4 linked regions of the Diceros bicornis minor genome follow. The protein of the gene in region 1 interacts with the protein of each later gene in a pairwise test. Links are inferred from orthologs where the notes say so. Each region holds a gene or a part of one and is shown in the gene's direction. Other genes may lie near its edges.

The links. The genes of interacting proteins can lie anywhere in the genome.
Region 2: the proteins of DAXX (region 1) and ETS1 interact in binary tests that used the Homo sapiens proteins (3 or more experiments, as listed by UniProt). The link is inferred for Diceros bicornis minor from reciprocal best matches to the Homo sapiens genes DAXX and ETS1.
Region 3: the proteins of DAXX (region 1) and PARK7 interact in binary tests that used the Homo sapiens proteins (3 or more experiments, as listed by UniProt). The link is inferred for Diceros bicornis minor from reciprocal best matches to the Homo sapiens genes DAXX and PARK7.
Region 4: the proteins of DAXX (region 1) and TCF7L2 interact in binary tests that used the Homo sapiens proteins (3 or more experiments, as listed by UniProt). The link is inferred for Diceros bicornis minor from reciprocal best matches to the Homo sapiens genes DAXX and TCF7L2.

The regions. Positions count from the first base shown.
Region 1 is NC_080753.1:31,138,986-31,146,979, forward strand, and holds the start of DAXX (death domain-associated protein 6), read left to right. Parts: upstream 1-4,982; 5' UTR 4,983-5,192; intron 5,193-5,396; exon of another isoform or gene 5,397-5,491; intron 5,492-6,359; exon of another isoform or gene 6,360-6,362; 5' UTR 6,363-6,411; coding exon 6,412-6,618; intron 6,619-6,762; coding exon 6,763-7,594; intron 7,595-7,706; coding exon 7,707-7,918; intron 7,919-7,994. Other genes in the region: SMIM40 (small integral membrane protein 40), read left to right, coding at 2,333-2,575. UniProt on the Homo sapiens protein: Transcription corepressor known to repress transcriptional potential of several sumoylated transcription factors. Down-regulates basal and activated transcription.
Region 2 is NC_080746.1:7,434,186-7,441,533, forward strand, and holds the start of ETS1 (protein C-ets-1), read left to right. Parts: upstream 1-4,334; 5' UTR 4,335-4,395; intron 4,396-7,348. UniProt on the Homo sapiens protein: Transcription factor. Directly controls the expression of cytokine and chemokine genes in a wide variety of different cellular contexts. May control the differentiation, survival and proliferation of lymphoid cells.
Region 3 is NC_080752.1:27,789,689-27,796,813, forward strand, and holds the start of PARK7 (Parkinson disease protein 7), read left to right. Parts: upstream 1-4,111; 5' UTR 4,112-4,184; intron 4,185-5,123; 5' UTR 5,124-5,146; coding exon 5,147-5,236; intron 5,237-6,637; coding exon 6,638-6,739; intron 6,740-7,125. UniProt on the Homo sapiens protein: Multifunctional protein with controversial molecular function which plays an important role in cell protection against oxidative stress and cell death acting as oxidative stress sensor and redox-sensitive chaperone and protease.
Region 4 is NC_080745.1:76,493,975-76,501,511, forward strand, and holds the start of TCF7L2 (transcription factor 7-like 2), read left to right. Parts: upstream 1-4,523; 5' UTR 4,524-5,030; coding exon 5,031-5,219; intron 5,220-5,496; coding exon 5,497-5,563; intron 5,564-5,772; coding exon 5,773-5,897; intron 5,898-7,537. UniProt on the Homo sapiens protein: Participates in the Wnt signaling pathway and modulates MYC expression by binding to its promoter in a sequence-specific manner. Acts as a repressor in the absence of CTNNB1, and as activator in its presence.

The DNA.
Region 1 (7,994 bases):
TGGTTGGCTGTTTGTGATTGGTTCTCTTTAGTGTTTTGATTTCATAACCTTGAGGCATTTATAGGTTTAGGTTTGGTTTGCTTACGTTGGTCGCTGTGGCATTAGAGCCTCCTCAGTCTAATGGCCTCCTTGTTTAATTAATTTAACACAACTAATAAATGATTAGTTAGGACCCTGATCCAAATATTTTGACTCGTTATGCGACAACCTGTGGCAGCAGCAAATGATAAGATGAGTTGACTCTAAGCAAAATTGTGACATCGTTTGTACCTTTTTGGGGTAAACAAGGTCTTCCTATTAAGGTCAAAATGAAGTTTAGGTATGAGGTCCATTACCATACACACCACTTCTTTCACTGTCTACCCTACCACCACCACTACTTATCCTGGGGGCCCAGTTCTCCATATGGGCTTTGATTTCCTTCACAGATGTAACCTTAAAAATGAAACAGCCGGTTATTTTACCAGCAAAACGAGCTTATTCAAGAATAGTCAAAGAATTGCTATCCAGGATGTGCATGCTGTGGTGGACCATAGGCAAATCCAACAAACAAGGCAGAGGAAAGATATTTTATAGAGAAAAAGGAGAAAATTGAGAGGGGTTGTTTTGAAGGAAAGTCCATTGGAGAAAAGCAAGAGTTCAGGGTGGTGATGGCTTCTCACTGGCTAAGTTGCTGGGGGTAGTGGATTTCTGTTTGGGATGCAATGTACATTTATGCCTATAATTGAAGATTCTTTCCTATTGACTTCCTTTTGTTAGAGTCTGTAATTGATTATCTTTTCTGTAATTGACCTCCAATGATACTACTGGGAGCTCCCCCATCTGGCCTCCTGACTCCATTTTAAATGAGATTTCCCTTTATTAAATTTCACATGGACCTTCAGGCCAGTGCCTGGTGAACAGGGTCAATAAAAGGCCTTCAGGGGCTGGCCCAGTGGCACAGTGGTTAAGTTCGGGTGCTCCACTTCAGTGGCCCGGGGTTCTTGGGTTCAGATCCTAGGGAAGGACCTACACACCACTCGTCAAACCATGCTGTGGTGGCGCCCCACATACAAAATAGAGGAAGATTGGCACAGATGTTAGTTCAGGGACAATCTTCTTCAAGCAAAAAGAAGAGGATTGGCAACAGATGGTAGCTCAGGGCCAATCTTCCTCACCAAAAAAAAAAAAAAGAAAGAAAGAAAAAGAAAGAAACGGCCTTCAAGCCTTGCCCCACAGACAACCTCCTGGACATTTCCCACCAGCAACTCTCAGATCAGAACTCCCTTCCCCCTGGTCCGGCCCCGTGGCATAGCGGTTAAGTGCTCATACTCTGCTGCTGGTGGCCCCGGTTCGGGTCCTGGGCCCCCACCGATGCACCGCTTGTCAGATCATGCTGTGGTGGCATCTCATATAAAGTAGAGGAAGATGGGCACAGATGTTAGCCCAGGGCCAGTCTTCCTCGGCAAAAAGAGGAGGATTGGCATGGATGTTAGCTCAGAGCTGATCTTCCTTACCAAAACAAACAAACAAAAAAAGAATTCCCTCCCCCCGCCTCCTCCACACACACACACACAGACACACACACACGCAAAACTTCACTCTTCCTTATTATTGCCCCAACAGTTAAGTTCCAATCACACACCCTCACCCTGCTGACCAATCAGTCTTTCTCTCTTTAAAAACCTCCCGCTGGACTCTTACAGTCCAATTATGATCATCCTCTTACCCCACAGGGACCGGAAGTTAGAAAGAGAGCACTCTGGGTTTCAGCTCCACAACTTCCCGGGCCTGCAGACCTGGGGGAGTACTATGCCTGCGCCTGCGTGGACTCCAGGCACTGCTGCTCATCCCCACCCACCTTGGTTAGGAGAGCCCCTCCCAAAACCCCAACCTCTTCCACCTCCCCTCCACTATAAAGCTGGAAGGGGCTTTAGATCCTTGACTGACAGGGACTCACAGTAGCGTACTAGGTCTGCTTGCTCATCCTCTATCTGTAGGGGCCCAAGACCTTGAGCCTTGAGCCTAGAGACCCACAATGACCTGAGCAGTTCCAGCTTGCATGCCTCTATGTTGGGCCTTCAGTTTCCAAAACACAGACTTATAGGATGGTAAAGCTGGACAGACTGGGAATCATTTAGTCCAGACCATTCACATTGCACTGGATGATTATATGATTGTTCCAAAGGCTCAGAGGCTCTACTCTCCTTTTTCTCTCTTGGGTGGCGGAATTAAGGTCAAGCTGAGCCGGTGCAGGACTTGCTGCCACCATGCCTCTTAATCCTGGCATTGCTGAGCAAGGGCTTCTATCTCAGCCTCCCTGGTCCAGCCAGCAGTTACACTGTGGGTTAGGATGGCAGAGGAGGAGGGCAATGTGGACGAGGAGGATGTGTTCCTGGCATTTGCCCAGAGGCCCTCTCCTCCCAGGAGTCCACTCTGTCAGGCCTTGGACAAGGTCTTCTTTATCTTCCTGGCCCTCAGCCTGACACTACTGATGCTAGAGGCTGTTTATAAGCTGCTGTGGCCGCTACAATGGGCAAAGTTTGGGGACTGGCTGCTGGGAACACCTCAGAAGGAGGAGGAGCTGGAATTGTGACCACCTTTCCTATAAACATCCTCTTTCCCTGCCACAGAGGTGAGAGGGGAGACGGGAAGAAATGGGACTATTAGGAGCTGTGGAGGGGACACTTGGATAGCTTAGAGCAGCTGTCTTAAGATTTCTGCACCTAGGGGCCGGCCTAGTGGCATAGTGGTTAAGTTTGGGCACTCTGATTCGGCAGCCCAGGGTTCGTGGATTCGGATCCTGGGCGTGGACCTACTCACCACTCATCAAGCCATGCCATGGTGGCATCCCACATACAAAATAGAGGAGGATTGCCAAGATGTTAGCTCAGCGACAATCTTCCTCCAGCAAAAAGAGGAAGATTGGCAACAGATGTTAGCTTAGGGCTAGTCTCCCTCACCAAAAAAAATTCTGCACCTATACTCCAGGAAATAATTTTGAAAAAGTTTGTACTTTTCAAGTATTTTTAAGTAAGTATCAAAAATTTTTCATCATAAATTAAAATTGTTTCAAGGATGTAATTCCTGGCATATTGAAAATATTCATAATTTAAAATAAAACAATTAAACCACCCTTTTGAATGTCCAGGGAAACTGAAATATCAGAATGACTTGATACCCACCACCACCCATTTAAAAATACACAAATAAGCTCTTAACAATTGGGAATGATTTCTTTTCTTCTTTCATCATTCTCTTTTCTCCTTGAACTTCTATTACCATTCCACCTCCCCACAGACAATTTTATGCTTTTATCTTGAAAGTCTTCACTGACCCATCTATCACACTTTCCTGTATATATATATATTAATTGAAACGAAAAACGTTTTTCTTTCTTGTAACCATGAGACTCTAGTTTTCAAAAAAATTTCTTCTAGGTTATCATTACAATTATTATGAGAACAGAACTGATCAAATAGCATAAAGATTGTACACATTTCTGTAATTGTTAAAAGTAAAAGTACATTTTTAATGAGATAGTCGAGGTGGTGTTTACGGTGCCTTGATAAAAGAGACTACATATCTCTTTATTTAAGACAAGGTAAGGGCCGGCCCAATGCCGCAGGCGGTTAAGCGTGCGCGCTCTGCTGTGGCGGACCGGGGTTCGCAGGTTCGGATCCCGGGGAGCAGTGACGCACTGCTTGTCAGGCCGTGCTGTGGCGGTGTCCCATATAAAGTAGAGGAAGATGGGCACGGATGTTAGCCCAGGGCCAAGCTTCCTCAGCAAAAAAGAGGAAGATTGGCATCAGATATTAGCTCAGGGCTGATCTTCCTCAAAAAAAAAAAAAAAAAAAAAACAAGGTAAGATTATCCCCAGGAGATTTCATGGTTGAGAAGGATATTTTTTGGGGGGTGGGGGTGGGGTGGGGGTGGGGTGGGGGGAGACAGTCTATTGTAAAAGGGAAAAGGAAGAAGAAGAACTTCTGCTGCTGGCGTTTATTCAGGAAGACCAATTCTGGGAAAATTGAGGATCTGGAAATTAAATCCCTTTTATCTTCTAAGCCCAAATACCCTTTGGAGAGTTTTCATGTTCCCCAACTTAAAGACTGTAGGCTTAGACGACTGGAGAGAAGTGGTGTGGGATTCTTTAATGGAAGGGAGGGTTTGAGGTTCTGGGACTCTGAGAGCTTAGGGATGTAAGAGCCTCTGTGATCCTAGAAAGTGGCAAGATGCTCACCACTTAGGAATGCGCAAGGATGCAGGAGGTGGGAATCTCAGCGATTAGGACCGTGTTAACCTTTCCGGTTTCCCCATACGCTCACCTTTGGACCCAGCCTTGCCTTCACGAGTCCTCCCAGCCTCTCTAAAGCTGGGCGGGGTGGGGGTGCGGGCGAGGCAGGCATCAAAGTCGGTTTCTTCTCTCTTCGTTCTTCCCTCAGCTCTCCCAGAGAAAGAGGAGACGAGACCCGAGGTATTCTACGAGCCTGATTTCGTCTCACAGCGGCAATTTGCACAGATTCTCCTCAAAGCCCCCGTCCCACATCTTTTGGACTCAGGTCCTGGAGTTCCTGGACAAAGCACGGCCTCTTGGTTATCACCGCCTATGCCTCGGGGAAACCCCTGAGAAAAGGACAGAGACCCACCTACGTCCCACCGGCTTGTTGGTCGTTAGTTCTGTGGAGGAGCTTGAAAAGACGTCAACAACAATAGCAATAATAATAACAACACATTGTATAGCGCGTTTGCATGCGTGTGTTATGATTTCACGATCGGGAGATGTAGGCACCTGAACGGAGAAGTAGCTGCTGGACAGCGGCAAGGGAGCGCGCAGCCCGTAGAAGGGAAGGGGCAGGCGCAGTCGGTTAAGCCGTGGAAGTGGGTACCTGACCGTAGGAAGGCAGAGCCGGAAGGAAAGGAAAGGTTATAGCCTGGCGGAAGGAAAAGGTTATTTCCCTTTTAAGCGACTCCTGCCCTTCCGCGAACCCCTGTGTAGCCTTGGAGGGCCCAATTCCTTAGCTGTCCAGTTCCGTTCCCCGCCTGCTTGGAAACGGGGCTCAGCGCTCCCCGCACGCAACTCGCTGGCAGCCGGGCCGGAAGCAGGAAGTTTCTGATTGGCGGAGTCGCAGAAGCACTGGGTGAAAATAGCTCCGCTGGCTGCGCGCCCAAGTCCTAGCTCAGCCAATGCCGTACGGCAAAATGGCGGCCCCCACGTACACCGGGACTCCCTGCGAGGACGACTCCGCCCCCTACAGGTCCGGAAGGGAGCCGCAGACTAGGTGGGCGGCACGGGAGGCGCTCGGGGGACGGGCCTACCGTCACCTCCGGCCCGGGGGGCGGGAGCGGCTGGGTTCCGTACGACAATATGGCCGCGGTCGGGTACCTGTAGGCGGAAGCTCCGCGACTTCCGGTCCAGAGTAGGGCCTGCGGTGGGAGGGGGAAGGAAGGCGGAGGGAACCATGCGAGGTTCTGAGATCAGCGGAGAGGGTCGCCTCGAGAGACCGTTTCTGAGGTGGGGGCCGGACCGTGCGGGGAGCGAAGGCAGGGGCGGGAATGTCGAGGGAGAGGTATTGGGGAGTCCCGGGCGCTGAGTCTGAGGGGCAAGCTGTGGTACCTTCCTTCCTATCTCTGAAGGGGAGTGGGGCGCCGGGGGCTGAACTGGGGGAGGGGGACTTGGCGGGAAGCTCATCCAGGGGGGAGGGGCTGGACCCAGGGTTGGGATCCGAGGGGAATCGGGAGAGCCCAGTGCGGTGATCACAGTCGGTTACAGGTCACAGAGAGAGAATGGGGAAAATTAGGGTGGGGTGAGAGGGAGGGGACTTGGGGTGAAATATCTCCAACCTAACGCCCCGGTTTGAGGAGACCTATCAGAGGGTAGAATATGGAGATAATTCAGGTAGGAGAAAGGGGAGTGGATTTTTGGGAGGGAACCTCCCTCTCCTGAGAGAGTCTAGGAGTTGGGGTGATCCTTCAGGACGGGGTGAGGGTGTGGATTTGACGTGTCTGAGAGCGAAAGGGGGAAAACACGTGAGGTGGTGCCGACGGGGGTGTGGTGTCTGTGCAAGGGGATGTCAAGGAAATCTGGAGTGCAGTGGGGAGGGTGGTCCAGGGTTGGGAGGAATCAACTTGCCAACTATGACAAATAATGGGGAAACGCAACAGAAAGACCGGATATCGACTTGAGGGGTGGAGCTGGGGGTGGGGCTCCCGTAGTAAACGGCCAGAAAGCATATGGTACCAATGGTTGCTCAAGATAGGCAGTGAGGAGACTGTTGGGCAGGGCCGGGTGTTACTGAAACCCAAGAAGATTGGAAAATGTGTGAGATGAAGGGATGGGGCTGTGCTGGAGGGGCTCTTTCTGAGGCCCCACCCCCTTCCAGCAGGAATTCCGAAATCCCCAACACTTCCTCCCTCCTGGGGATTTGATCCCCCATGGCCACCGCTAACAGCATCATCGTGCTGGATGATGATGACGAAGATGAAGCAGCTGCTCAGCCAGGGCCCTCCCACCCACCCCCCAGTCCGGCCTCACCCCGGGCAGAAGCCCCTGGCTCCTCCCAGCCCCATAGGGCCAGAGGAAGCAGTAGTTCGGGCGGCAAGAAATGCTACAAGTTGGAGAATGAGAAGCTGTTTGAAGAGGTGAGCTTTAGGGGAGAAGATTCTTCTTGTACCCCAGGGAGGGGGATGGCTGACTGGCTCTCCTGTCCTTTCTTCCCCACTAACCTTTCTCTTGATCCCTTCCCTTGTCTCTTCCCCACTCCCTTCTTCCCCTGAACCCTCTAGTTCCTTGAACTGTGTAAGACGCAGACGGCAGACCACCCTGAGGTGGTCCCATTTCTCTATAACCGGCAGCAGCGGGCCCACTCTCTGTTTTTGGCCTCAGCGGAGTTCTGCAACATCCTCTCTCGGGTCCTGTCTCGGGCCAAGAGCCGGCCGGCTAAGCTCTATGTCTACATTAATGAGCTCTGCACTGTTCTCAAGGCCCACTCAGCCAAGAAGAAGCTGAACCTGGCCCCTGCTGCCAACACCTCTAGCGAGCCCTCTGGGAATAGCCCTCCCACAGACCCCACCTCGGACCCCGCGAATGCCGAGACTACTGCTGCTGAGGCCCCAAGGACCCATGGTTCCCGGCGGCAGATCCAGCGCTTGGAGCAGCTGCTAGCGCTCTACGTGGCAGAGATCCGGCGGCTGCAGGAAAAGGAATTGGATCTGTCAGAATTGGACGACCCCGACTCCACGTACCTGCAAGAGGCGAGGTTGAAGCGGAAGCTGATCCGCCTCTTTGGGAGGCTGTGTGAGCTGAAAGACTGCTCTTCACTGACGGGCCGGGTCATAGAGCAGCGCATCCCCTATCGGGGCACCCGCTACCCAGAGGTTAACAGGCGCATCGAGCGGCTCATCAACAAGCCAGGGCCCGATACCTTCCCTGACTATGGAGATGTGCTGCGGGCTGTGGAGAAGGCAGCTGCTCGGCACAGCCTCGGCCTCCCCCGGCAGCAGCTCCAGCTCATGGCTCAGGATGCCTTCCGAGATGTGGGCGTCAGGTTGCAGGAGCGACGCCACCTCGATCTCATTTACAACTTTGGCTGTCACCTCACGGATGACTATAGGCCAGGTAGGGATTAGTGAGGTGCCCATTATATGTCAGGTGTGTGGTGGAGGAGGCATCTCTCTAGTCCCTTCTAGGGTTTGGGCTGAGTACTTTCACTTTATATCTTCCCACATAGGCTTTGACCCTGCACTGTCAGATCCCACCCTAGCCCGGCGCCTACGGGAAAATCGGACCTTGGCTATGAGCCGGCTGGATGAGGTCATCTCCAAATATGCAATGATGCAAGACAAGAGTGAGGAGGGGGAAAGACAGAAGAGAAGAGCCCGGCTCCAGGCTACCTCTTCCTACCCTACAGACCCCCCCAAAGCCTCCTTGGATTCTGGTGAGGTATAGAGGGATACACCCTTCAGAGAGACCTTGTCCTTCCCCTGCACTGGCCAGCAGGGAGTCCAGGGTGACTCAT
Region 2 (7,348 bases), on another chromosome or scaffold:
TTGCTGTGAAGGGGACTCCTGCATTTTGGGGGGTTGAGGTGGGAGTGAGGGAAGGGTGATTGTAGAAGGGTTGAGTACCCCTGTGAGGCTAAGATTCTGGAAATTCACCTTCTTATTTTTCCTCTTAGGAGATACTAACTTGCAGTGTAGCTTGTTATGCTAAGAAAAGGAAAAAGATTTCTTTACAGTAAGAACAGCAAAGAGCTTGGTGGTAATTATTCTAGAAATTCACATAGGCCCTATTCTAACTGTGCCTATACCGTATTGAAACTATCATCCTGGGCTGGGCTATGGCAATACTTCTTCAGAGAAGCAAACAACTCTTCACCTAACTCTTTCACATGGGAGCCAAAAGGTATACATGTCCCCTAGGTCACTGTGTTTTAGATTTTTTTCTTGAGGATCTTAAAATATATAGACATCTCAACTGAGGTCCTTCTCTATAGAATTTAATATTGGAGACCATGGAGAAGAACAACCAGAATTGCCTTTTCAGTTTGCTGTTTACATAATCATCCAATTACACAGTAATCCCAACAACCTCGTGAAGTTGGCTGGTATTGTTATCCAGTCTGTGACAGATGACACAACGAATGGCTCTGTGTAGCAGAGGGAGGTCCTGTGCTCCTCCCTAGGAGATGACACCTCTTCTTTGGGAGGATCATTTTCCCGTGTCCTGTACCATTCACATGCATCAGAAAGCATTCTTTCTGTGCATGGCCTACTTAACCCTAATGCTATTCATATTTTTCTTCAGGACAGTGTATTTTTTTTTTTTTTTACTTTTGTAAAATATAGATAACATAAAATTTACCATTGTAACCATTTTAAGTGTACAGTTCAGTGGCATTAAGTAACTATCAAGACATCCATCTCCAGAACTTTTTCATCATCCCAAACAGAAACTCTGTCCCTCTTAAACACTGACTCCCCATTCCTCCCTCTCCTCAGACCCTGGTAACCTCTATTCTACTTTCCATTTCTACAAATCTGACTATTTTAGGTACCACATATAAGTGGAATCATACAATATGTGTCCTTTTGTGTCTGGTTTATTTCATTTAGTATACTATGCTCAAGGTTCATCCATGTTGTAGTATATATCAGAATTCCATTCCTTTTTAAGGCTGAATAATACTCCATTGTATGAATATACCATATTTTGTTTATCCATTCATCTATCGATGGACGTTTGGGTTGTTCCTACACTTTGGCTGTTGTGAATGATGCTGCTGTGAACGTTGGTGTACAGATACATCTTTGAGTCTCTGCTTTCAGTTCTTGTAGGTGTATATCTAGAAGTAGAATTCTGGATCCTATGGTAATTCTATGTTTAATTTTATGAGGAACCACCATACTGTTTTTCCATAGTGGCTACACCATTTTACATTCTCACCAGCAATGTGGAAGGGTTCCAATTTCTCTGTTCTCTGCATCCTCACCAACATTTGTTATTTTCCGTTTTGTTTCGTTTGGTTTGGTTTGGATAATAGCCATCCTAATAGGTGTGAAATGGTATCTCATTGCGGCTTTGATTTGCATTTCCCTAATGGTTAGTGATGTTGACCATCTCTTTGTGTGCTTATTGGGCATTTATATATCTTTGGAGAAATGTCTACTCAAGTCCTTTGCCCCCCCCTTTTTTTTTTTGGTGAGGAAGATTGGCCCTGAGCTAACATCTGCCAACCTCCTCGTTTTGCCGAGGAAGACTGGCCCTGGGCTAACATCCATCCCCATCTTCCTCCACTTTATATGGGACGCCGCCACAGCATGGCTTATCAAGCAGTGTGTCGGTGCCCCCCTGGGATCCGAACCGGCAGACCCCGGGCCGCCGCAGCGGAGAGCGTGCACTTAACTGCTTGCGCCACAGGGCCGGCCCCCCTTTGCCCATTTTTTAATGGAGTTATTTGGGTTTTTTGTTGTTGTTGAGTTGTAAGAGTTCTTTATACATCCTGAATATTAATCACTTATCAGGGATTTGCAAATATTTTTTCCCATTCTGTGGGTTGCTTTTTCCCTTTCTTAATAGTGACCTTTGATGTAAAAAAGTTTTTTTTTTTTTTGTGAGGAAGATCGGCCCTGAGCTAACATCTGCCAATCCTCCTCTTTTTTTGCTGAGGAAGACTGACCCTGGGCTAACGTCCATGCCCATCTTCCTCCACTTTATATGGGATGCTGCCACAGCATGGCTTGACAAGCAGTGCATCGGTGCACGCCCGGGATCCAAACCAGCGATCCCTGGGCCGTTCAGCGGAGCATGCGCACTTAACCGCTTGTGCCACCAGGCCGGCCCCTAAAAAAGTGTTTAATCTTGATGAAGTCCAGCTTATCTATATTTCTTTTGTTGCCTGTACTTTTGGTGTTACATCCAATAAATCATTGCTAAATCCAATGTCATGGAGTTTCCTCCTTTGTTTTCTTCTAAGAATTTTATAGTTTTAACTCTTAAGTTTCAGTCGCTGATCCATTCTGAGTTAATTTTGTCTATGGTGTGAGATAAGGGCCCAACTTCATCCTTTTGCATGTGGATACTCATGCTATAGTTTTGAAGATACTGTTTAAAACAAAATTTACTGCTTTCTTGGGCATTCTCTAGACAATTTCCAGCAGTGGTGGCTTATTTTGCACTCTTCAGATGTCTGGCTTTCTTTCTTCAACACCCTCATAGGTAGTGGCAGAGGGTGGAGCTAAGGTGCTAATGGGTTGTAACTGTAGACACGTGAACTCTACGTAGACAACTCCCGACTCCAGAGCTCGTCAGTCCTCACAGTGGACACCTGTGTAGGGCAAGAATCCATGTCTTCTCTACATTGTTTTTTTAATTCTCTTGCAAACATAATGAATACAATTATAATTAGTTGTGATTGGTTTAATTGAGCATGGGCTTTTTAAATGGGGCAGCATGCTGGAACTGACCAGGCCATAGCGGGCAGGCTGAAGCTTCTGTGCTCTCCTCATAGACTTTGCTCACAGCATGCATTGCACTTTGTTGAGATGGTTGCTTATGTGTCTGTCTTCCCACTACAGTGTGAACTGGTTATTTCCTTAGTGCCTAGCACAGTGTCCGGCGCAGACGGTTACTAAACAAAACTGAACCAATAGTACTATCTCTTCCTTTCTTCTGAGCCGTGTTGTTGTGCAAAGGCAAAAGATGAGCAGTAAAATCTTGTTTTAATTACACCACCATCTTAACTGCACTGCCAGCTTTATACAATGAAGGATAATGATGATGTTGCTCTGAGTGACGTTTGTTAGATTTTCATAGACTTTCAAAGTTGAGTATTTTATTTTCATTAGAAAAGGAAAGGAGTCAACCATGGCAAATTTTAACTCCCGTCTATTCCTCAAAGAAAATAGAATCTTTCAGGATAAAAGTCTTAAATTAAGAAGCCAAATACTGACTTTTTAAAAAAAACTTCTGTAGTGAAATAACCCTGTTCGTAGAGGTGACCTTACACTGTAGCATTTCAGTACCATGGTTCTGAATATGTGAATACAAGATGCTGTACGTTTTCACCTAGAACAGATGCTAGATTTTTACATGTTTACATTTTCTCTAAGTGAGGAATGTATGAAGATTTCTGCCTTTTATGACTGCACCATAGACTATGAATCAGGGCCCCAAAACTAATTTATTTTAGAGGTCACCTACAATCAGACTTAAATGAAAAGTGTATTTTAGTTTTACTTTTCAGAAATCCCAACTCCTTATTTGGTCAGCTCCCCTCCATATGACTCCTTTCTTTTCCTTAGGAAATATTACATTTCACATCAGGTTAACAGAGAGAAACAAGAAGCCTGGGCAGGTGACTGGGTGGTAGAATCCTGCTTTCCGATGGCCTTCCCTGCCTGTTTCTAGGGCAGTCCTCGCCCTCTCCTGACCCCTTGCCTAGGTTAAAAGAGGCTGCATTGAGAAAGTCAAGAAATGTGAATCATGAATATTCACATATTCACAAGAGTAAATCTAATGCATCAGCAAAGGAGGAGACTCAGTGTTATCCCACTGAGCTGGTTCCCTTCTGCTGTCTCCCTCCCCGTTACTCCCAGGGCTGACTTATATTTAATTGAAGGATAATTTGAATGACAGAAATTAAGGTGTGATTTGGTGTTACCTCAGCTAGTAACATTACTTGCTTTTCCATGTAGACTGAAGAGCCTGTCCTAGTGGCTGCCTTCGTGGTGTCAGGGGCCGGCGGAACACTGCCTTTTTTCCAGCTTTCCTGGGCTTGACCACACCCCCCCCAATTTAAGGAGGCAGCTCTATTAGAAACATTATGGTCTTTGCATCCTCTCGCCACGGAGCAGAGGATTCCCGCAGGTAGTAGGAAAGAGACCACAGACCTTGAGGGAAGCTCACTCAGGACCTATTCTTCACCCAGTCTCTCCGGCAAAGTAGTAAGTGAGGTGTGAGTTTCTGCCTAAAACTTTGCAGTCCATCTTCCTTTTCCCTTTTTTTTCATTTTGTGGAATTAATCGGTAAATTGATGGGGACCTTCAGGATACAAGCGGTTTTCTCTTTCTCTTTCCACATTTTTCTATATTTCCATTCAATAGTTTCATAACGTTTTTCAAAAATACTTCCTAGCCTAGTTCGAATCATCTGAAATCAAGACTATATTTCACTCTTTCCCCTGAAGTATTCTATATTTCAGAATACTTGTCAGAAACTCTGAATTTTGTTCGCATGTTGGAGCAGTTCCAAAGGAATAAAGCTATAGTTAAACACAGAAATTTCCTTCTTTTTTTCTCTTTCCCTCCTAGCAAACCTATTGTTTTACATCTTTTTTCTTTCTTTTTTTCCCTAGCAGCTTAAGGAATTTCTTTTATAGAGAGGACATTGCTACAGGTTTGAATTTTGCAAGCCAAACTAGCCTTTTTGGTGTTTTTCTCTGTCTTGTGACCCACAGTTCTCCAAGGTTCTACCTGCCCTCCAGACTGCAATTGGGACGGGGGAGTCTCCGAGTCGGGGCGCATTTCTTCCGTCCACCGCGAGCAGCCGTGCTGTGGAAAAGCGGGGCTGTGCGTGGCCATTGCCCCCGTGGTTTTACCCAGCAATTCCACTTTGTCGGTGGCTTCTCATCTACTCTTAAAACGCCTCTGTTACCCTCTTTTAAAGTAGCATTTCATGTGGGAGAATTGTTCAAAAAGATGCTGGGTTACCGAGATCCAGGCATTTGAATGTAGGTTTTCCTTATTACCTTTTGGGTAAGTTATCGTTGTTGTTTTTTTTCCATCTCCTGGCCATTTTTTTTCCTACTTCATACCATTACTGGGCAACTGAGAAGAGAGATATTTGTTAAACAACAGGAAATACAGATTCTAAAATGATAAGCCTGGCAGCCTCATTTGATTTGTGAAATGATTGACACTTCGACTGTTTCACTGGCTATGGTTCTGAATTACATCGCCTCCTGTTTACCTAAAGAGAAAACCCTTTGCCTCTGCAGGCATGGGCTCCTCACAGACGGTGACTGGGTGGCCACCACTGCTGTTGAGAGTCTTCCTTACCTGTTGTTCCTGAATGGAGGGAAGGGAGAGCTAATGAGTTAATGTCTGCAAAGTGCTTTGAAGATGAAAAGACCTTTTCATGTGTTCAGCATTGTAGTTATTAATATTAATATTTGAAGAAGCATGCTGCTTTTAATTGTAAATCAACAACTTCCATCCTTGCCAACTCAGTAGTGAAAAAACAAACAGTGAAGGCAGCCACACAAGCCTCTTCCGTCCTGGTTCTGCTGCTGAGGATGTGAGAAGCCCAGAGTCTGATTACAGAGAGGGCGTCTCTGACTTACAGGCTCCTTACTCCAAGGTGCTAGTTGGTAGAGGCGCCCGGAGGTCCAAGAGTAGAGCCTGGCGGAGGGCAAAGGCTGTAGCTCTTCCACATCTGCCTGTCTGTGGCCTTGGGGAACTGGTTGAGAGTGTGGCCCTGGGCCAGTTGCCTGCCTCAGATTATAATGGAGTTCAAAGGCGAGCAGGGGCAGAACTGGAACCAGCACTGTAGCTGGAGTCGGGAAAAGGCATGTGCACTTGGGTTCTATTAGAGATGGGCTTTGTAACTGGGAACAACTTATTTAACATGACTGTGTCTTATTTTCTTCATCTCTAAAATGTGAGTAATGATTTTTGCCTCGCCTATTTCACGAAGATGAGAGAATAGAAGTAAATAGCGTAGAGCTTTGAAGAATAGAAGTGTCAATAGGATTGAGGGACAGTCTGAAGTAATATTGTAAAATTGGGTGTGTGGGTCAGGTGCCCAGGGGAAGGTGAGGCAGAAGGCAAACAAATGAAATAAATGCTATGGAAACAAATAGTTGGCACTGACATGTCTCTCTTTGCGCACAGAGCCTTGATGTACTGCCAAATGTCTTACTGAGAATTCGATTTCTGCTGTACCTCCTGATTTTATTTATTGGTGAACAAATCTGTTTTCCACAGCAACTCTCCTATTCTAATTACCCATTCAAAATTCCCATTTCTGCACCAAACAGCAGAAGGAATGGTTACATTGCAGAAGCTGGGGCATCCTTTCTTCCTCTCTCCTCTTCTCCCCTCCCTCCTTCCTCTCCTCTTCTCTCCCTCTTTCTTTCTTCTTTATGGAAATCAAAAAGTATTTAGTATTTGAGCTAAATAAATGTGGTATGCAGCAATTTAGTGGTATTTGAGGCAAATCTTGTGAATTTCTTCAATCCTGGGGAAACAGATATGAAGGCAACCCATTTTTTGCCTCTTCATCTCCGCTGTCCCTGCTCTTCTGGATATGTGGCTTTAGGGAACTCAATCGTTTAATCTAGATGATTCTCTGGATATAACACCTGGTTTTCTCCACTTCACCTGAGGAAGAGTAATAATCCCTGGCATTTACTGATCACTTGGTGTGTTCCAGGGCCCTTGCGAGGTGCGTTGCACGGACTACTCCATTTAGCCTACAGTGAAGTCTTGGAGGCGAGCACTCTTGCTCTCCCCATGTGACAGATGAGGACTCTGAGGCTTGGTGATGTGAACAACTTAGTTAGTGGTGGGACCTGATTAGAACCAAAGGAATATGAGTCCAGAGCTTGTGACTGGAATTGTGTCTCCTAGGGGCCCCAGTAGCTTTGAGACACTTCACAAATTTAGGCTGGATTTTTCTGCTCAGACTGATGATTTGCTTTATCTGGGAGAATACTATGGATTAGGCCTATTTTCTAAAAGGGAATCTGTGGATTAATTATTCATTGTTAGAAAGATACTGACTCTGAAGAAAGGCCAGAAGGTCCAGTTGAGTGGATGAGTAAATCTCTCCCTCAATCCCTCTTGTGACAAATACTGATTGAATTTCTACTCTGTGCCCACCCTTGCTTTGGGGGGT
Region 3 (7,125 bases), on another chromosome or scaffold:
TTAATCTATACGAGAGGAAGGAACATCCTAGAGGGTGAAATTAGGGTAGGAAGTATTTATTGAGCACCTGCTATGTGCCAGGGACTGCAATAGATGTTAGGGATTCTCCAGTGACCAAGACAGGAAGGTCCTATCATGGAGTTCACAGGATTGAGGAGAGACAGACAATAAATAACTAAACAAAAGAAAATGCTAAAATAATTGCTATCAATGAAATAAAAGGATATATTCATAGAAAACGAGTGTTACTTAATAAGATGAAATGCAAGATATCTGACCCATAAAAAATAATTAATAATCTGGCAGCAGTTTCTTTGCTATTTATTGTGATCAGGCTAATTCTAGGCAGAGTTGCTTTTTGGGACCAGGATCAGAAGGGCCATGGGGCTGCTGTTGCTAATGTAGGGGAGGCAAAAACTTTACCTCTACCTTCCTAGGGTCTCTGGCTGGGCCTGAGAATTAAATTGACATAAAAAAGATTAACAGGAGAAAAGCATATAAATATATTTAATATGTTTTACCATGACCTGGGAGCCTTTAGAAGGAAATAAAGCCTCAAAGTGGCAAAACCCAAATGCTTATATACTGGGTTGAACAAAAAGTGGCAATTGTGGAAAAATATCTAAAATAAAATGGAGAAACTAAAGGATGATGCGAGTTACTTTAACAAGGTCTCTTTGTACAAATTCTGCCAGACTCAACTCCCTCTCTGGTGATAAGAATGTTTCTTTCCTCCTGGCATAGGGAGGGCAGTTCTCACATGCAAGTTTCATCTTCTGCTTTCAGGAAGAAAAAAAATGGGAATCAGAGTGCCTTTCTTGAACCCGCTGTTTTCCAAATTCCTCTAACTCAAAATAATCAGTATGCTAAGGTGGCATATCTGGAGGTGGCATGTCCTGTGTTCCTTCACTGACATTATCAACAGCATTTCTCCATTGCTGGACTGTGAGCTCTACAAAGCAGAACAGCATCTCTTAATTAAATGTTCCAACTGCTGCCGGAAACTGATGATTTTAAGCTCCTTGAAAATAGTCTTTTAGTTTGTACTTCCCACAGTGCCTAAAGACTTGTCAAATATTGAATTAAAAATGTAGTGGATCAGAATGGGGTGGTTCTACCTGGAAATAAGGGACTGAACTAGGAAGTGTCAGTGTTTTCTGGTAAATGGTTTAAATTTTTGGCTTTGTTCTATAAATGTGTGATGAGAAACAGACATAAACTCTAAAGTTAAGAGACTGTCATGAGTGTTGCTGACTTATTAATAAGCAATACTGATAGAATCTATGGTGGGTAGAGTGTGAAATTTGGCATCAGAATATCTGAATTTGACCAAGACTCTGCAGGACCTTATACAGTCATTTCACTCTTCTGGACCTCAACCTCTGCATCTGTGAAATAAAAATTATGTTAATACCTGCCAGGAAGTCAATATATAAAGTCTAAAACCAACAGATGAAAAATATTTTTATGTACAGCATTAGCATATTGTTTAAAAATTAGCATATTGTTGAAAAATACTGAGATAATTACCGTAAGAAATACTTTAAAGAGTTGAAAATATTTGCCTCTGGAGAGCAGGGCTGAGGGGTAGAAAGTACTGAGTTAGAAGGCTGCTGTCTTTCATTATGAGCCTTTTAATGCTGTATCAGTGAGCTACTGCTGTGTAACAAAATCTGAGTACTTCAGTCTGCCTTTAGGCTGTGATGATCTGCTTCAGGTACGGGTACAGGTTGACTGGGGCAGCTCTGTTCCACGTGTCAGTTCTGAAACCCAGGCTGAAAGGGCAGCAGCAACTTCCCTGGGGGAAAGCTCTTCCTTTTCAAGATGGCAATGCAAAAGTACAAGAGAGCAAGCCTAATCATCATGTCAGTGTTTTTCAAGGCTTTGATCAGGTCATGTCTGTTAACATCTCATTAGCCAAAACAAGGATGACAAACCCAAAGTCAAAGGGCAGGAGTACCCTCCACTCCCGCAGGCGGAAGAGGAAAGAGTGAATATTTCTGAAAAATAATCCAATCTACCATAAGTAACATTTGAGTTTTTAAAACCGTGTGCAATGGATTCATTTGATAAAAATTAATGCTGACAGGTCCATTTCAGATCTCGATGGTAATGCAGATGTCTCAGGAGTGTTAACTCAGGTTCGTTCTCTCTCTCTTTTGCTGCTGAACCATCAGTCTTGCCATTTTTATTTTGCTGTGGCTGTCTCATGCTGCAGCAGGCCACCAGCATGGTTGTTTCCTTACAAGAGTTTATTGTGAGGACTAGAGCAAAACAGCCTGTCTTCTCTTGCTTTTCCTAAATCCCTCTTTGGTTCTTGAAATACATATCTGACCACTTGCCTCCTCTCCCTCTCTGGCCCTCCTATTTCCCATGCTCTTTCAAAGCTAAAAAGGGGTGGCTTTTGCCTGCTTCCTTTGCAAACAGCCAAGGGTGAAGTCATTCCAGACTCCCAAAACGTTGTCTTCTTAAAATGGGAAATGATTAAAGACATTTAAATTTTTTGCACAAGTGCAGATTATTGCATAAATGAATCAATTTACAATTATTAAAATTAAATAAAAACCGCTCTCACCACCATTGTAAGGATCCCATCAGATATACGAAAGTACTTTGTAAACCAACAAAAATAACATTATTTCTTGAAAATAAACGTGTTTTTAATATCTAAATTGAAACTTTAAAAACACTTGACGTCTGTAAAATACTAGTCTCATGTGTTACCGGTGAGAGTGCTCAGTGATTCAACTTGTATGGAGTTGCTCAAATGTATTTCCCACTTCTGGGAATTTTCCCTCCAGGTATATCTGCACAAGGACAGATGAATGTCATTCAGCACAGTGCTGTCTGTACAGAAAGTGACTGGAAATAACCCGTTATCGGTAGGGTACCGGTAAGTAAAGTATGGAATATACCTACAATACCATAGTATCTATGGGGGGGGGGAGGAAGTTCTTTTTGATATGAAAAGATCTCCAAGATATTCACTTAACAAGGTGGTGGCGGCGGCAGGAGGGCAAGTGCAGAACAATGTATACAGACTGCTATATTTTTATGAGAAAGAAGGAACATAATAGTACATATTTGTGTGTGCTTGTACTTACATAAAGAAATACTGGAAAGATGCCCAAGAAACTAATAATGTTATCTGTAGGGGGTGGGGATGGAACTGGATGGGGACAGGGCTAGGAGCCCGTCTGTTCAATGTAACACTTATCACTTTGGTTTCTGAAACTAGTGATAAGTATCAATATTCAAATACTTTTAAAAATATAATTTGAGATTATAATTTCGGTGAACTTAATTAATCAAGTACTTGTTAGACCTATGTGCTCAGCACTGCGCTAAAACTGGACGCAGAAGCAGCACTGAGATCCTTAAAAAAACAACTCTGAGAAACGAATGCACGTGCAATTACCGCGCGTAACTGATGAGGCTCACAAAAACGAGGGACGGGCGTGGGCGAGATAAGGCCGGAGGACCTTGGAGAAAGAGTCCTAACAGAGCGGAGGCGACGCGGGAAGGTGACGAGGAAAGAGGAACAATGCAAAGGGAGACAGAAGTGCACAGAGGAAGCGTGAAAGAACAACTCCAATACGTGAAAACGCACGTCGACAGCAAGCCACCCCACTCTCGAGACGCGCATTGCGCAACTGGGCCGCGGCAAAAAAAAAAAACGGGGTAAATCCCGCGGGCGCCGGGGGCAGGCCGGGCCGTGCCACTCGCGGGGGGGAGATTTCGTGAGGATGCGTGAGTCCACGGGATTCTCGTGGGGCTGAGTGTTCCAACTGGAACCATCCTAAGCGCACAATCGGGAGGCCCAATGGCAGGCCGTCCCCCGCGGTTCTCCGAGGTGGGTTCGTCCGGATGTGACGTCACGGATGCGAGCGGCATGCGCCCGCGCAGTGCGGGGGGCGGGGGGCAACGAGCGCTTGGACAGCGCGCGTCTGCGCAATGCGGCACTGAAGAGCCTTGCCGAGCGGCGCGAGTCTGCGCACTTTGGGGGCATGAGGGAGGCGGGGCAGCGCGCGTCTGCGCAGTGTGGGGGGATGAGAAACCAGGCGGCTTGCGTCTGCGCAGTGCGGTACGCGTGCGTGCTTGCGTGAGTCTGCGTGTAGGCCGCTTCTGGTTTCCCAGTCCCGGCGCAGAAGACGAGGGCCCGCGTCTGTGGGAGGCGAGGCTAGGTTCGGGTCGGGGCTAGGGGAGCGTGCGCGTGCGCAGGCGGTGGCCCTGTGGGTCGAGGGGGCGCCGGGCTTGGGAGGGGGCCACCCTCAGGCGGGTCCCCGACCCCGCGCGGGGCTGTACGAGTGCGGCTTTCTCTTGCCAGCGTAGCAGCAGCTCTGAAGCTTCCAGAATTGTGTACATGGCGTCCCAGCAGTTTGGAACTGCTGGTTAAACCTGTGATTGTTGAAGTGGATTTATTAAAATCCATTTTGCATGGTCACCAATTCTAGAAAATAGTCTAAAAATTCTTCAGACCCTGGTTTAGCAGCTTTCGTTTACGATGAGAGCTAAGTGCAAAGAGAGGGAATTTGGTTGGGTTGCCTTTACTTAGGGGGATTCCCATCTCTCTCCATTATTAAAAAAAACAGTGTTCAAATATTTAACACTGTTAACTCCCTCCAAATTTTTAGTATAGTTATTGGAACTAAAAAAAATCCCCTCCAAAAATCTTACAGGCTAATTGCTAACTGTGTATTTAGTTTTTTGCCCGTGAAATTTAGTTCAGTCGCATCCCTATGAAATAGTACTTCAAAGAAAGGCTGTCTCCCCGCATTGTGTGAAATGCAACTTGTGTTTTAGAAAACCTCATTTACAATATATTATTAAAAATTGAATTTTAAAAAAACAAGGTAAAAGAAAATCTAAACAACACTAACACGCATTAACAACCTTACTGTGTTTTCATCTCAAAAAGACAGCATTTGAAATTGTGCTACGTAAGCCAATATTAACCTAAAATGCATTTTTCATATTCAGTTGTGTTTGCCTATCAGAACCTTTTCTCTAGGAGGCACTTAGTTACTCTGCTTAAAAATATTCCTAAACTTAAAATTTTTGGCTTTTCCAGGGTTGCAGTGAATGTTTTTTGAGAATCTTTTTTTTAATTATTTTTTATTAAGTCTTTAAAAAGTACAGCATAGAAATGGCTTCAAAAAGAGCTCTGGTCATCCTGGCTAAAGGGGCAGAGGAGATGGAGACCGTCATCCCTGTAGATGTCATGAGACGAGCTGGAGTAAGTCCCTCAACGTTTTCTAGCCCTCCTCTCTTTTAAAACATTCTTGGATTTTTAAAAATCATTTTGAATAAAATCGTAGTCAGTGTACTTTATGAAATATTTCAAATGTACACAAAAGTATGGAGACTATATAATAATAATTACTTATTTATTCACTGTCTGCATTTAATACTTGTTAACATTTTCTCATGTTTCTTTCAGACCTATTTCTTGAAGAACAAATGCTTTAAAGAAATAAAGTGTTGCAAAGCCCTCTTTGTAAATTTCCCCAATCCTTTTCTCCTTCTGGCCCCAGAGATAACTGCCATCCTCACACTGAAGTGTATCCATTCCATGCATGTCTTTAAAGTAGTATTAGCGTGTAGTTCTCATTTTGCATGTCTATATTATATATCTGTATATGTGTATGTAACCATAGTGAACAATAGCACGTACTAGTGTCATTCTAAGCACTTATATAAACTTGTTTAAATTTTACAGCAACCCTATGAGTTATTGCCATTTCATTTTATGGTTGAAGAAACTGAGGCACAGAGACACCAAATAAAGTGTCCACACTGTAGAGTTAGTAAGTAGAAGAGGCAGTACTCAGGCCCTGGCAGTCTGGCCCCGGAGTCTGTTAACCCAGCGTTCCTCTGGTTCTCATAAGTGAAGATACATATAGATCCAGTTTGTTTATTTAAAATTGCTGTTTAGTGTTGCACTGTATGAACATGCCCACAGTCCATTCTTCTGTTACATTGTTTCACTACACTGTGTATTACAATACTGTATTACGTTACAATGTAATATATTACAATACTGTAATATTCTTGTCCGAGTTGCCATGTGCAAACTTGTGGAAGTTTTTCCAGGCTCTCTGCTTAAAAATGGAATTGCTAGGCCAAAGGATGGTCCATAATTGGCATTGCTAGATTTTGTCAGATGACTCTCCAGGGTACCAATGTGTGGCCCATCAGCAGTGTAGGGAAATGCCAGTTTGTCCAGTACTGGCTCTTGGTACTGTCAACTTTTTTGTGAGGAAAAAGTAGTATATTTTCTTAGCTTGCAATTCTGCTTTAAGAAAATACCATAAGGTTTAAATGGCAGCAGTAACTTTGCAAGATGGATTATTAATAGGATGATCATATATTTTATTGCCCAAACCAGAACACTTGTGGGAGAAAGGACACTAACCAGAGAGGGCGCAGAGGCAGCATCTGTAAACCAGTCCTCTCCCGGGCAGACTGGGACAGACCTAGTTATTAAATATCTTTAGCCAACTTATTAGCTAAAGTCAGCATGGTTTTGTTGCAGTATTTCCTGCCAAGTTATTTTAAAACACAGGGCAGCTGTGAAGTGTTACTCTAAATTTATGTTTCTGTATTCTTAAATATCATGATGGTGTCTTTTTCTTAGATTAAGGTCACCATTGCAGGTCTGGCTGGAAAAGATCCAGTACAGTGTAGCCGAGATGTTGTCATTTGTCCTGATGCCAGTCTGGAAGATGCAAGGAAACAGGTGTGTTCTCCATACTTGGAATTATTCCTTCCTGTGGCTTTTTTATCAGTTTCTTGAAATGTGTTTTGACTGCATCTAAGGCTGTGGTTAGCACAGACTTATTTTAAGAAAGTTACTATGCTTAGATGTCTTCCCCACTAAACTGAGCCTTGGGCAGTCGAGGACTTTGCCTTTTCCACCCTGTGTTCATGGAACCTGGCAGTTCCCTGATACGGCATGTGCTCAGTAAGTGGGTGGGTGGGTGGACAGGACACTTCCATCAGGATTCTGCTGGCTTACACAAGCAGCCTTGCCTCCTGGTATAGCTTTGTTACTTGATATGAGAGAAGCAACTGTCAACGTTGCCTGTTCGTTTCTTATTCTTATTCGAAAGCAGCTTTTTACCT
Region 4 (7,537 bases), on another chromosome or scaffold:
TATGCAGACTTGGCTTCAGGCAATAAAACGTCATAGCCGTATAACTGTAGCAAGCAAAATTTCTAGGGAGCAAATTAGGCTGAAAACATCTTCTAGAGACAGCTAGAAAGGAATCGTACACCACCCCAAAATAAGGCAAGTTATGCAGTAAATGTTTCATTTATTGGCCTTCTTCCATTACTATTAGGGTTAAAAGACATCTTATCAATAAGAAAGGGATATTTATGGAGGATTGATGTCTTTCGAAAGGCTGCTCCTGTCACAAATGCCTATCGCGGTAGTGATCAGCTTATGAAGGCAGGTGATGAAATCCAGTACAAATGCATACATCTCCCCATTAACCCTTAGATCATCAGGCATTATTGTCACTTTATTACCCAGACCTGTCATTAGCTGAAGCAAAGTGATCCAGCCAGGCACTTGAGAAAAAAAAAACCCTGTTCCTCAGGGTTTCCAGAAGAGGCTGTGTGCCTTTCCACATCTTTTGACAGAGTCAATGGGGGAAAATAAAAGGATGCCTGTGAAGTGGGCCCTTTTTGCCTACCCCTTCCTCCCGCTAAAATTGAAAACTCTCAGGGGTCCAATTTTTAGTGTTCCTATGTTGGCTAAGGGAGTTGCTTTCCTGAAGGTCCAAATAAGGAACCATCACCCACGCAGAACAAAAAGCAAACAGAAAATTTCACAGTGGAATCAGGACTTTGGCTTCTAAACATTTCCCCATTTCATAGCTTCCTTATATTTTCAGATTCTTTTTTTGGCTTCCTTCAGTCAGCACACTCCCTGCATAGATAAGACCAACACAGTGGGTAACAGATCATCCATCTTGGAGCCCAGCTCTTTAAAGAAAAATCATACGGAACACATATACACACACGTACGCATCACTGTCAAGGGTAATTTAGCAGAATCTTGCCAAGCGATCGGGGGAGCCGAATATGGTTGTCAACATGTATTCCCTACTTCTGTTGAATCTGAGCAGACTATCCTTGTTTTCCCTAAGTTCCAAAGCCAAACCTCCAATATGGCTCGTCCCCTTTGCTGGTGTGCCGGTGAACTTCTTAGCATAACTGGGGTATGGGCTGAATCTACGGAATCAAGGACTCTCTGAATGTTAAAAGAGACCTAAGAAAATATCAAGACCAATTACCTCACTTGCCAGGTGAGACAAGACTAAGGGGCCACAGGTGACGTGGGCTACCGCCGGCCTATTTCTGCTGTCCCCATCAAGCAACCTCCCATATTTCAGAGGGCACCCACCACTCTGCCATAAGTGCCCCATGGGGAACCGATGCCTGAAAGGTGATTTATATAAACCGACACTTCTTCTCACTCTTCAATAGGGATGAACAAGGAAGTACCCCTGGGAGAGATAACCCACTCACTTAATTTTTAAGGTAAAATAAGTTGTACACTGATATCAACACAGGTCCACAGAGATTTAATAGAGGGACGGCTGAAGGGGAGGAGAAAACAGAAGTGAAGAAGCAGAAGGGCAGAGGATGAGGAGGAGAGTTCGAGACCTGGGCTGGCCCCAGGAATGGGCTCCAAGGGAAGCAGATACAGCTTCTCCCCCATCCTGCCCACTTCCCAATATGCAAAACCCCTTGGCTCAGGCTAAAGTCAGGACTGGTCTGGCTTCCTCCCTTTGTTGTAGAGCCTCTGCTATTTGGGCAGAACTCTTGGTCATAAACCAGGAGTCATCAGTATCTAGAAAGAGAAGTAGCCTCAACACCTGGACACAAGCCAACTGTTGTTTAAAATTTCACACCAAATCTTCAAATTACACGTTCACATTGCGGGCCAACCTGACTTTTTGTTGTTGTTTAATATTATAGTACCTTGTTTTTTGCCAATTTCAGTTTCACACCCTCCCCCCGGTCCCCCACATCTTGGCATCACCTGAAGCCATTTCAGAGACTCAGGGGTTATTGACCCTCTGAGATCTTGCTGGTCTCCCCAAGCCTTTTTACTGCACAAAGCAGCAAAATTAAATGTGGCATGTTTGCTATCATGGAATAACTTTTAATTGCTTAATTAAATCAGAGATTTAAAGAAGGAAAGATTCGAGTTCCCTTTGAATGAGAAATATAAGGATACGCCAAAATGGATGAGGTTACTAATCATTAGGAAGAAAGCCCTTAGTATTTACATATGATAAAAATGCAGACCAGGACATTAAAAGCAATAAGTACACTCTCTACAGTTTCAATTCCATCTGTTTATGAGCTTTTATTATCCAGGTAGTCCTATGAAGGACAGAGAAGACCTCATTATCCAGCTTAATTCAGATCAGGGTTAGATTAAAAAAAACACCACCGCACAGGACAAAGAAATTGCCGTAAAACTGAGTTACTATAAATGTGTTCCAGTTTAAGTAAATAAGCCCTTAAAACGGGCCTTAGGAAAGTGTACACTGTACACAGACAGTCTCAGGCACACTAAGTATACAGGTGACAATTAGCAAGTATGACAAGCTATGGGCATTCACCAAACGTGTAAATCTAAAGGCAACTGAGTGAAAAGATCCACAAAAGGGAAACTGTTAAATCCATTTGTACATGGATTTAACAGTGAAGCATTTCATTCTTCATGTTTTTACTTGGTGTCTTGAAATAATCCCCTTTCTGTCTCCACTCTCCCTCTTAGAAACTGTGCCTGCCTTATTTATTTATGAAGTCTGAAGGTTAGTTCTACCTGCTGAGACTAATTAGCCTTGTGCTTTGTATCCTATGCAATCCTGTCTGAGTAAATGTACACATTTGTTTTACTTTTCAGACTCTTTCTCGCTCTACTTCTGATTTTCCGATTAATATTAAAGTTGGGAGTTACAGTGAATCTCCTCTGTGCCCCCCCCCCATTTTTATTTTGCCTGTATCTTTCTCTTTAATGTGCAAATGTGGTTGTGAATTTTTTCCAGTGCAGGGGAATTCACTGGCCTTGTCAATCTTGGTATCATTATTTTTAGTAGTCTTCTTTCTGAGACCTTAGCCTATAAAACAGTTTTGCTGAAACCCCAAACTCTCTAAATATTACATGGTAAATTTCCTTTCTTTTGGAAACCATAGGTGCTGATGGGCCAGCTGAAAGGCAGGTGAGATTTTTTTAGGCATGGGTGGGATAATTTAGTACATCATGGACTCAGGACCAACACTGTTCCTAATAGACAATTTGCTAATTTCTATTGATTTCTTTTTTCTGATTATTTTTATCCACTTTTCATGTGGTAGTTTCCAGTCCACTTCTCATTGGATATTTGCAAGAAAATGAATGTTCTTGCTCCTTCATCCAGGGACATTGTGTTTTGGGAGCCAGGCCTTTTACCCTTTCACATAATTCTGTTCCCCATTTTGTAGCAAATCAACTTGCCCCCCAGGCGAGTGCCTAAAAATCAACAAAATACCTGCCTCACAGCCCAGGTTTTCCACCTCCTCCTTGAGGTCTCCCAGCATCAGCTCGGTTAGCAATTTCCTGCCGGAGCCATCTACACCCTCATCATGTGGTCAGTCTTTCGGGGATTTCATCTCAGACCCCCTTCGAGAAAGACTCCAGCACCGCTGATCCCAGGGGTCGGTGAACTTTCAGTTTTATTTTCCCTGGCGGTGTTAACGCCCAAACTTTTTACCTCCAAAGTCTGAAAGGACTTTGAATCCTCGCTCATTTCCTACCACCACCAACGTTAGTAAAAAAAAAAAAAAAAAAACAAACAACACTCTACACTGAAAGAAATCATGTATTTTTCCTTAAGGATATTTTTAATGCCTTTGACAAACATGACAGTATTTGATTGTTTTTGGATAAAAGTCATCTTGGCATATTTAGTCTAGTGAGATTGAAGATTTAATGAAATGATTCACTATTAATAAACAAGAAGGGGAGGGAAGATCTTGTGGGTTAATAGTTTCTTTCACTGCAGATGACCAGGAACTTTGCCCAGCCCTCCACTTCCCCAAGCTCTCTGAAAGTGGAGGGTTGCTCTTTCTTCTTGACCACTTCTGTTCCATCCCGCCCAAGGGTGGCTGATTTCACTGCTGGATTAACCACTAAGCATCCCCCGCCCCTACTCTCCTTTTCCCCTTCCTTAAGACTTATTTCTAATATTTCCAAAGTGCACTTTTTCTGGGCCTCTCCCCATCCCCGCCCCCCAAGTGGGCTTTCCTTCCGCCTTCCCCGGCTCGGATTCCTGCCTCGGTCGCCACCCCTTCCCCTCCTCTCCCACTCCGCATTGTCTTTCTGAAGCCGCCCCCTCCCGGAGCGAGTCCCGGTCCCCTCGCCCAGACTCCCGGGCTCGCACACACTCAGCGCAGGCCGCTCCCCCTGCACTCTCCTCCCTCCGTCTCTCTCCCCCTCGTCCCCCCGCCCCTGTCCTCCTCCTCCTCCTCTCCCTCCTCCCTCTCCCGGCGCCCGAAAGGATCATTGTTAGCCGCCCCCGCCCCGCCCACCCCGGCTGTTTATTATGCGCACGTCACCGGGACGGCCCCGCCCCCCGGCATCTCATTAAGCGAGTGTGTTCCTCTCGCCCTGTCAATAATCTCCGCTCCCAGACTACTCCGTTCCTCCGGATTTCGATCCCCCTTTTTCTATCTGTCAATCAGCGCCGCCTTTGAACTGAAAAGCTCTCAGTCTAACTTCAACTCACTCAAATCCGAGCGGCACGAGCTCCTCCTGTATCTTCGGCTTCCCCCCCCTTTGCTCTTTATATCTGACTTCTTGTTGTTGGTGGTGTGTTTTTTTACCCCCCTTTTTTATTTATTATTTTTTTGCACATTGATCGGATCCTTGGGAACGAGAGAAAAAAGAAACCCAAACTCACGCGTGCAGAAGATCTCCCCCCCCTTCCCCTCCCCTCCTCCCTCTTTCCCCTCCCCAGGAGAAAAAGACCCCAAAGCAGAAAAAAAAGTTCACCTTGGACTCGTCTTTTTCTTGCAATAATTTTTTTCGGGGGGGGCAAAACTTTTTGGGGGTATTTTTTTTTTTTGGCTTTTCTTCCTCCTTCATTTTTCTTCCAAAATTGCTGCTGGTGGGTGAAAAAAATGCCGCAGCTGAACGGCGGTGGAGGAGATGACCTAGGCGCCAACGACGAACTGATTTCCTTCAAAGACGAGGGCGAGCAGGAGGAGAAGAGCTCCGAAAACTCCTCGGCAGAGAGGGATTTAGCTGATGTCAAATCGTCTCTAGTCAATGAATCAGAAACGAATCAAAACAGCTCCTCCGATTCCGAGGTAGGAAAAGCCCCTCGGGCTGGTGGGGTTTTTAATCTATTTCCTGGGCTTGGCAAATGTTGCTTCGAGGGGAGAAATCCGGGCCGGGGGCGGCGGCGGGGCGCCGCGGGGCCGGGCGGGCGGCGTGTGCGTGCGGTGCCACCATTGCAAAAACTTGTAACCCTGCTTTTCTCTCCCCCCCAAATCCCCCCACCCCGCTGATTTCTTTTTCTCCCCCTTCTTCCCCCTCTGCGTGGCGTTTGCCCCTCGCCCTCCCCACCTCCACCCCTCCGGGAAGGCGGAAAGACGGCCTCCGCCTCGCTCCGAAAGTTTCCGAGATAAATCCCGGGAAAGTTTGGAAGAAGGTGAGTACGCCCCGCGCGCCCCGCAGCCGCCCGGAGCTGCCCCCCGGGCCCGCCGCCCCGCGCGCCCCGGCCCCGCGCCCCGCTCGGCCCGGCCGTGCGCCGCCCGGGCCGGGGCGCCCGGCCACTTGGGGCACTTTCTAAAAAGTTTCTTCTCGCTCTCTCCCGCTCCGCGCGGCCGCTGCCGTCCCCTCGCCGCCCCGCCATGTTAGCGGCCAAGAGGCAAGATGGAGGGCTCTTTAAGGGGCCACCGTATCCCGGCTACCCCTTCATCATGATCCCCGACCTGACGAGCCCCTACCTCCCCAACGGATCGCTCTCGCCCACCGCCCGAACCGTAAGTGCCTCCGCGCCCGGCCCCCGCCCGCGGCCCGCCTGCCCAGCCCCGCATGCGGCCCCTGCCCTGCCCCCTCCTCCCCCTCCCCTCCCCTCCCCTCCCCGCCTCCTCCCCTCCCCGCCTCCCCTCCCCCGCTCGTGGCCCAGGCAGCCCGAAACTCTCCAAACTTTTCTGCCTTTTGTGGACTGGATTTGTTTGCACTTCGCCATGTTCTTGCTTTCAGTTTGCTGCCTCGTGATGTTGGGGAGATCTTTCTTTCCAAGCACGGCTTTGTTGGGGGAAAAAAATCAGAAGAACTTTTTTTTGCGCTCTGATTCCCCCCTCCCCCTTTGGTGGAGTTGTTTGTTTCTTCACCCTGGGAAGATGACTGTGTGGCTCTTTCTTTTCTCTCTCTCTCCCTCTCTCTCTTCCTTCCCTCTTCTGTGGCGTCTTGGGCTTTCCTCGGTTAACCCCTTGGCTGCCGCTGCCGGGGACTGAGTGGCTGGGCTGCGCCCGACGCGCCGAGTAGAGAGTGATTTTCCTCCAGGCGTTGGACTTGAGAACTAGCGAGCGCGCGGAGCCCGGGGCCCTGGAGAAGCGCTTCGGCTTTCTCTTTCGGCCGGTTATTTATTTAGCTTTCTAGTGGCGATCGCTGGCTCTCAGCCCTCCTCCCCTTTCCCTCTGGAAGGTCACGCTTTCCAGACTGGACCTACTGCAAACTTGGGGGCTCTGGGCTTGCTTTTCTTTGGCAACCCCGCAGGCCGCGAGCGCCCTGGGCGCCGTGGCGGGCTCGGCTGCCCGGCGCGCAGACTGCGGGCTCTCCCCGGCCGCGCTGAGTGGGGAGGCCCCTGTGGCCGGGGTTCTTGGTTGGTGTGTAGCAAGGATGGCCTCCTCCGGGCGGACTCGATGTATTTCTAGGGAATTTTGGTGCCTTGGGGTTTATAGTGGGGTCTGCGCTCGCCAGCTTCCGAGAAGGCCTTCAGTGGGCCGTGGGGGGCCAGAGACCAGGGTGTGCGGGGCCTAAAGGTGTGTAGAAGTTATGGGAGGACAAGAGCGGCTCTCCTTCAAGGGAATGGGCTGCTGATCGCGGGCCACTCAACTTTGGGGCCCCCAGGGCAGCGCGGGGTGCCAGGTTCCGGGGGCTCTTCCCTTAGTTTGCGTTCCGCTCCCAGCCCTGACATTTGTCAGTAAGGCTCATCCCCTTCCCCGATCGGCCTGTGCCCCCTGCCCTCGCCCTGAAACCCCCTCCCCCGTTCCAACCCTCCTCTAAAAAGCCTGGATTACGAATCTCTAGACGTTTGTCCCCGATTTCCTGGGATTGTCATTTTGCACCTTCTCTGGTTTGGTCCCTCTACCCCTTATTGACACGCACCACTTTTGTTTTTTCTTTTTCGGTAACTCGAGATAGCAATTTGAAATAAGGCCCCCACTGTTCAGCAGCCGTGATTCGGTGCTAATGGCCGAGGGTTTACCGGACGGGAGTCGATCAGATCTACAAGTGTTTTTTAAGCATTAAAATATTAACTATCAGGTTTGACTTGTTTTTTGGGCCCTGGCAAAAAAGGCAAGGGCATGCTAGACCGGTCATTTTTTACGGCTAGGAAAGAAATAATTATTCCCCCCTCCCCTGCGCCCAGGCTTCTGCATGCTTGGGAAGCTAG